Macaca fascicularis: one gene and its partner. The protein of the gene in region 1 purifies or fractionates together with the protein of each later gene. This does not show direct contact. Links are inferred from orthologs where the notes say so. Each region holds a gene or a part of one and is shown on either strand. Other genes may lie near its edges. The genes, in order: CASK and ARHGEF26.

The links.
Region 2: the proteins of CASK (region 1) and ARHGEF26 purify together in Homo sapiens (affinity purification with mass spectrometry; 3 studies listed by BioGRID and IntAct, with this or other methods). This does not show direct contact. The link is inferred for Macaca fascicularis from reciprocal best matches to the Homo sapiens genes CASK and ARHGEF26.

What each region holds. Positions count from the first base shown.
Region 1 is NC_088395.1:41,534,972-41,538,793, reverse strand, and holds part of CASK (peripheral plasma membrane protein CASK), read left to right. Parts: intron 1-2,386; coding exon 2,387-2,563; 3' UTR 2,564-3,822. UniProt on the Homo sapiens protein: Multidomain scaffolding Mg(2+)-independent protein kinase that catalyzes the phosphotransfer from ATP to proteins such as NRXN1, and plays a role in synaptic transmembrane protein anchoring and ion channel trafficking.
Region 2 is NC_088376.1:57,144,791-57,148,612, reverse strand, and holds part of ARHGEF26 (rho guanine nucleotide exchange factor 26), read right to left. Parts: intron 297-3,822; coding exon 144-296; intron 1-143. UniProt on the Homo sapiens protein: Activates RhoG GTPase by promoting the exchange of GDP by GTP. Required for the formation of membrane ruffles during macropinocytosis. Required for the formation of cup-like structures during trans-endothelial migration of leukocytes.

The DNA of each region.
Region 1 (3,822 bases):
ATACAGCCTTGTTTCTTCTAATAGATTTAGAATGTAGACACTTTGTTCCCACAAATCCTTGCTTTTGCTGTTAGAATAAAGGCATTTTGTTTTCACTGAGTTAAACCCTGCTCACGTGTGAGTCAAGCACACAGACAAGCTGTTGTCGAGGAAGAGACTGACAAATATAGCTTCATCTTAAAAGATTCTTAAGAGGGAGCTTTATTTTTCTGTAAAGAGACCTACATTAAAAATGTGATACTTTCAGCCATACATTTTCTGGAATATTTTCATCAGCCCAGCTTGCTGAGCAAGTCATAAACTCTGCTAGTGGTTTCTGAAGCTCAGGACTACATATTCAAATAGAATCCCGTGTGCCAGACAGTGATGTTGTAGGAATTGTTCCTTTTCATCCTGGTAGGAAGCACTCCTATCTTTGGGTGAATGCACGTTTGCTAAAATGGCGGGTTTTTTGTTTTTTTGTTTGTTTGTTTGTTTTTTGCATTGTGTTGGTTATTAAGTAAAGCCACAGTGAAAATACTATGCTTTTTAAGTGCAAGCAGAACTAGAAGGTGATGATTAACTGGGGTCTTAGCTACACTGTAGTACTTAACACTCTCAGTCAAAGCATGCCCTGTCCTGCTTTGAAATGCCTGTGAAAGAGGACAAAACAGGTAGGACATTCTTGGTTCAGAGCGCCCTGAGAGAAAAGATTGAGTTCCCATCTGCTGTGGTGTCTGTGCATGCCCACTGCAGGGCCAGGACAGAATCAAGCAAGTCTCTTTATCTTACTTCTAGTCCCCTTTCTTGAGAGCTGTACCCAGAGAGCTGAGGCTTGCCTGGACCTCCCAGCAGCCTCACCAGGAAGGGTCTCTTGCCAATAACAGAGGGGCCTTAGAGAAGAGGAGGGGAGGGGCCCTAAGCCAGTACTGGGCACTACGGCTCCTAGGTCCTTGAAGATAGTGCATCTTTTATTTTCTCTGGAGATCTTTTTCTGTCACCTGGGGGGCCCCCATTTCTGGGAAGAATTGCTCAGTCTCTTGATTTTAGATTTAATACTTGTAAAACCCTATAATGACTGGCACTAGTCAGACAAGTGCTTGTTCTTTTGACAGCATTTATTAAGCACTTACTATGTGTAAGGCACTATGCCTAATGCTGGGGCACAGCAATTACAGGGCACACAAGACAAGTTTATAGCTGGAGACAGAGCCACTCATCAAATAAAGAGGTATTTCATTATCTCTATGTATATTTGAGACTCAGCCCAAGAGCTCACCCACCTAGTGTTTGGCAGGTAGGGGGTGGTTAATTTGACTCACAAAGTTCCCTAGTGTCAAGGTTGAACTTGCCCTTTGGGAGTTCAGCATGACAAATTTGACTCATGAAGATATAGAGGCAGACTTCTTTCTGGTGGCTCTTAAGAGACCCCTATCTTGAAAGAACTGCCACTCTGTAGCGGAAGCTACACTTGCGTGACAAAGCTGGGACCTAAACTCCCTCCTGCTGTTGGATCCCTCTTGCGAGAGTTCTTAAAATCTGTGGCAAGCTGCAGCTTAGGGAACATCCTTTGTTGCAGCAAACCTCTCTAGAGTTCAGCAGCTTCTCTTCCTTTGGTTTTTTTCATAAGAGATACGAGGACCTGTGAACAGTGACATTTGTCCAGCCATTTCTAATGCAGACCACTTTGGGGGGATTCATCAGATGCCAGGTGCTGTTTGTTGGGGAAACAGCCTTATTCCGGCCATTATTTGTAACACTCAAAGAGCTTTTGCCTCTGGCATCAGCTGCTATTGAGTGAGGGCCATTATATGTCATTGAATTCCTGGAACGGTGGCACCTTTAAGTACAAGAGGAAAAAATACAACTTAATTTGTCATCCAAGGGCAGGGACTTGCTGGTGCAAACCCAGCTGGGCCCTGAGGCCTGGCTCCAGTGAGTGTGGAGGACCAAGGGGAGGGGGGCAAAGAGCTCGGGCCTTGCCACAATCTCCCTCTCCCAATTGGGAGAGTGGCTTGAGGCTAGGGCGGGGGGCTTCCTGTGGGCCTGTTTGGGCCACCATAGCCACTCTAACCCACACCTGGCATGGCCCTGCCAAGCCTGACTCTGGGGACAGGCATAGCTAGGCCTGAGTGGGGGTGGCATGTTTCCTGAAGAGTGTCTGTTTTCTCTGGTTCGTCTGCTTTGTCATGGACCCTCTGTTGCATGTTGAGCAATCACTGTCTCCTCTGTCATGGAGCGGACTTGGCCTCATGCTGGAATACGGCATGTCAGGGTCTGGCCTTGACTGTTTCTGACACTGGGATGAACAAAAATGTGAAAAGAAAATGAATCCAACTGATTTCTCTCTTCTGTTTGCTTTTCCTCCTCTCATGCCCACCCCTACCTCCATCTCATCACCATTTAGGATGAATCTCTTCAGCGTCTGCAGAAGGAGTCTGACATCTTACAGAGAACATATGCACACTACTTCGATCTCACAATTATCAACAATGAAATTGATGAGACAATCAGACATCTGGAGGAAGCTGTTGAGCTCGTGTGCACAGCCCCACAGTGGGTCCCTGTCTCCTGGGTCTATTAGGCCTTTCCCCAGATAGCTGAGCATAACTGGGAGCACCTCATACGTGGAAAAGCCTCTTTGTTATCGGCCTTGTGTCATCAGGTCATGGTCCCTAGAGACTACCTAGTTGTAGTGTGACCTACATTTATAATTATTGTCATGTCCGAATAGATAGGAGGAGAAAAACAATTACACACTAATTTAAAGAGACAGTATCTTTTTTAATCAGTTCTCCTAAACTTTAATAAAATGTATCTTTAAATGTATGTATTATTCAATCCTTTGGAATGTTATATTTTTGGAAATCATAGCTTTTTATTTCCAAGGCCCCTAAAAACTGCACAAAATAGATGCTGCTTTCTATAATCTATTTTAATAATAATAAACAATGATTCTGTTACCTTGACTGGGGGTGGAACACTACATTCTTTTTAGAGTCTGATTTTATGGATTGGAATATCTTTCTTTCCTTTATTTATTTGAAATAATTAGTGTAGTGATTACAAAACAGTCATAAATTTTTAAAGGCCTTTTTTCTCTTTTTTTTTTTTTTTTTAGAATAGTATTTTTTTTTTAAGTCCTTTATGTAACATCCAGATAATGTGATACTGTCTCTTTGAAGCACCCTGTAAACCTTTTAGAGATTTGAAGTTGGGTCTTGACTCTTAATGCATGTGGACAGTCGCGAGCGTTTATGCTGTCGGTGTGTCTGTGTTGGACAAAACAATCTGTAATCTACAGCAAAGTACATTCTACATTCCGTTCATGGGGCACACCCAGGGGAATAAGAATAAAATGCTATTATGACTAAGTTGTAAACCTATGCACATCCCTTGCATTTTGGGCAACTTTATAAAAAAAAATGAAACTGATTTTTATTAATAATAATCATGTAGTGAAATGTGTTTGTAATTTTGTCTCAATTTAATTTGTTGTAAGGTGGGGGGGAATTGCTGGTTTCACCATTTCAGATCTGTGTTGTCTAAGAGTATTAACGTTTTAATTAAGCAAAGAAATGAGGATTTTTAATCTGTATGTAATTGTTTTAAAGCACCCATTTTAAGAGAAAATACTGTGCAATGAAGAAACCAGTTTAGGCATTTGCTATAAACTGAAATATTCCAAAAGAATAATCTATAACAGCCCTGTAAATTCCTTTAAAATGATAACAGGACAGTTTGACCAATTTTTTTTAAATATACTTCCTTTTATGTGTTCAATAATTAAAATGCCTTTGGGTCCTTCATTTCATTATAGATTTGTTCAGGCTTCCAAGCTGA
Region 2 (3,822 bases), on another chromosome or scaffold:
TGCTCTTAAACATTTCTCCTCAGGGAAATAGACTATCAGAAGGCATTCCTAAATACAATTCAAAAGATCAATTAATTTCAGTCAATGTAGACTAATTAAAACTAGGTTAGACTATTAAAACTGTAGCATTCAACATTGCTTACAACAATTTTTGTAGTGTTCGTTGTTGGTAGACTTCATTTGTGCAGTATTTCACATATGGGTCAAATGTGGATGCTGTGTGTTTTTCCACGATGTCACTTATATCATCTATGAAGATATTATTCTGATGTCTTGCTTCCAACTCTATAAAGAACCTGAAAAACCAAAGGGAAAAAAGTTTACACATCTTTCATACACTCTAACAGATAACAGGTTATCCTCATGTAATGTTATTACATGGGGTTTGAAAATTCAACAGTACACAGCACCAACTAAAAAATATTTTTAAAAACTACAAAAATTTTATCTAAGTTTAAATCTATCATATCAACACCTCCTTGAGGATGGGCATTGTGGCTCATGCCTATAATCTCAGCACTTTTGGAGGCTGAGGCAGGAAGATCACTTGAGGCCAGGAGTTCAAGACAAGACAAAACCAAAAAAAAAACCTTCTTATTGCTTCAAGTGTTTGGCTTCAAACACCGATAATCCGAGGCATTGCTCTGCCTTCAGGTACTTTAGGCTAAACGTATTTCACTATTTTTCAAGAATTCTTTATGGGAAGGGGAATGAATGCTTATATATTTTATTTATTGAAAAGTACATGAACAAAACACCTAAATAAATGCTTAAAAAATAAGTCTGAGGCCAGGCATGGTGGCCCACACCTGTAATCCCAGCACTTTCGGAGGCCGAGGCGGGTAGATCACGAGTTGGAGCGATCGAGACCATCCTGGCCAACATGGTGAAATGCCGTCTCCACTAAAAATACAAAAATTAGCCAGGTGTGGTGGCACGTGGCTGTAGTCCCAGCTACTCGGGAGGCTGAAGCAAGAGAATCGCTTGAACCCAGGAGGTGGAGGTTGCAGTGAGCCAAGATCGCGCTACTGCACTCCAGCCTGGCGACAGACTCCGTCTCAATAAAAATTAAAAAACAAAAAACAAAACAACAGTCTGAAATAAATCTAACACTATATGTTAGTCAAAATAAAAATAATCATATTATTTTAAACCTGATAATATACACGGTATTTAAATCCCTCCCTTCCTCCCTCCAATCCCTTCCTTTCTCCCTTCCTCCCTTCATCTCTCTTTCCTTTCTTCCTTTCTTCCTTCCTTCCTTCCTTCCTTCCTTCCTTCCTTCCTTCCTTCCTTCCTCTCTCCCTCCCTCCCTCTCTCTCTCTCTTTCTTGCTTTCCTTTCTTTCTTTTCTTTCTTTCTTTCTTCTGAGAAAGGGCCTCACTCTGTCACCGAGGCTGGAGTGCACTGGCATTATCTCTCACCTCACTGCAATCTTTGCTTTCCAGGATCAAGTGATTCTCCTGCCTCAGCCTCCTGAGTAGTTGGGATTACAGGCATGTGCCACCATGCCTGGCTAATTTTTGTATTTTTTAGTAGAGATGGGGTTTCACCATATTGACCGGGCTGGTCTCAAACTCCTGACCTCAACTGATCTACCCACCTTGGCCTCCCAAAGTGTTGGGATTACAGGTGGGAGCCACCACACCCGGCCAGTGTTACCAGATTTAGTGTATAAATAGATAGCAATTTAGGGTCACCTAAATATATACATACAAACAAATGTATGTATCTATAATATACATATATATGGTATATATAATTATATATGTCATATAGATAGCCATTGTTTATCCATTCATCTGCTGATGGGGACTTGGGTAGTTTCTAGTTTTTGGCTACCTGGAATAATGCTGCTATGAACATTTGCATACGAATATCTATTTGTGTGTCTGTTTTCAAGTCTCTGGGGTATATATCTATCGGTGGAATTTTAACCACACTGTGCAGTAGTATGTGTATGGGTGTGGGGGTGTGGGTATCTGTGTGTGTGTGTGTGTTTGAGAGTGTGTAGAGAAATGATAGCATAATACCTGAACCAAAACAGAAGAAGCTGAATTATATACCAAGGAGAGGTTAGTTCACTAAACAAAATTGAGTAAGAAATGATCCTTTCCCTCCCAACACTCGCAGTGGAGTGGTTGATGGGAGGCATGCAGCCAATTACAATAGAGGATCTATAACACGGGTGTGGCATAATAAAATAATAAGTATTTGGTCTTCATCCCTGGTTCTTGGAACACAGCTCCCAAAATACCTGGAATCTCCAGAGTGATAGCAGTGACTTTCGTATGCCAGCGAGATGACTGGTAGCTGGGGGCCCTTAGATAGCTTCGGCATGGCTCTCTGCATGCCAGAAAGACCAAGCAAGGATTGCAGGGTTGGAACTTTTAGCCATGCCTGCCTACCTCCAGTCATAAGAGTTTGAGTTCAATTGTCAAGGAACGATGATTTAATCAATTATGGCTACGTAATAGAGCCTCCATCATAACCCTTAACTGATGGGGTTAGGGAGGGACGATGAACACCTTGAGGTGCTGGGAGGGTAGCAGGCCCTGAGAGGGACTAGGTGGTCTGCAGTACCTACACCCCCTCCAGCCTTGCCCTGTAACAATCTTTGTATTTGGCTGTTCTTGAGTTGTACCCTATATAATAAACCAGAAATTGTAGAGTACCTTCCTGAGTTCTGTGAATCATTTTAGCAAAGCATCAGGGCCTGAAAGAGTGGTGGATTGTGGAAATCCCCCTGCAACTCCGTAGCCAAGTAGGAGAGAAGTGTGGGTAACCTGGGGACCCAATGTTTGCATCTGCCATCTTAAATGAGGGCAGTTTTGTGGGCTGAAACCTTAAACCTGTGGAGTCTGATGCAAACTCAGGGTGGTTAATGTCGGAACTGAAACTGTAGGACTGGAAATGTAGGACACACAATTGGAGTCTCGAGGGTTAGAGAATTGGTTGATATAAGAAAAAAAATCACACATTTGGTGTCAGAAGTATGGTGAGTAAAAATAAAGAGGCCTACAAAGAAAACTCCAGAGGGCAGAGTAACCACCCTCGCGGTAAGCACAGGTGAGGACACCTGTAAGCTGGATCATCACTGCCAAGGATGACATGACGGGAGCAGGGGAGAAGCACAATGGGCAGACGAAGCAACGTGGGTCTGGTTGGGGAAACTGGGAAGTTCAGTGGAGCTGAGGTATAGACTCTAGGAGGAACAAGGGCATAGAAAGAAGACTGCAGAGCAGGCTTGAGCTCAATTGCAAAGGTTAGACTGCGTGCTGGAAAGTTTGGGATTAATCTGCAGACTATAAGAAACCAGTGGAAGCCAATAAATCACTCAATCCGAGAAAACTGGAGCAGAGCAAGGATGGATTACTAGCAGGGAGGGACAGATGGCAAGCAGGCTGGTTAGGTGGCTAATCTGGGCAAGTCGACAATACAGCCTAGTAGTGGAAAATCAAGAGAGGACACAGCGTGGGGTAACAATCTGGAGATAAAATTAATAGACTCAAGAAATTCGTTAGATGGGAAGTCAAGGAAGATGCTGAGATTTCTGGTCAAGGTTTCCACCTGGGCAATAAAGTGGGTTCTTAAACTATTAATGAAGACAGAGATTCAGGAAGAGGGGGAAGAAGCAGGAAGAGCTCCATTTAATTTTGCCTTGGAGATGTCTAATGGACAGCTAAAAATACACATCTGTGAGAATTCAGAGCAACGTGAATTCTAGGTACTGTATAGTTGAGACTACTTGATTTCTAGCTGGTTTTCACATAAATATGAAATATTTGTACAATTGTTTTGTAATGCAAATGTATAGAAAATT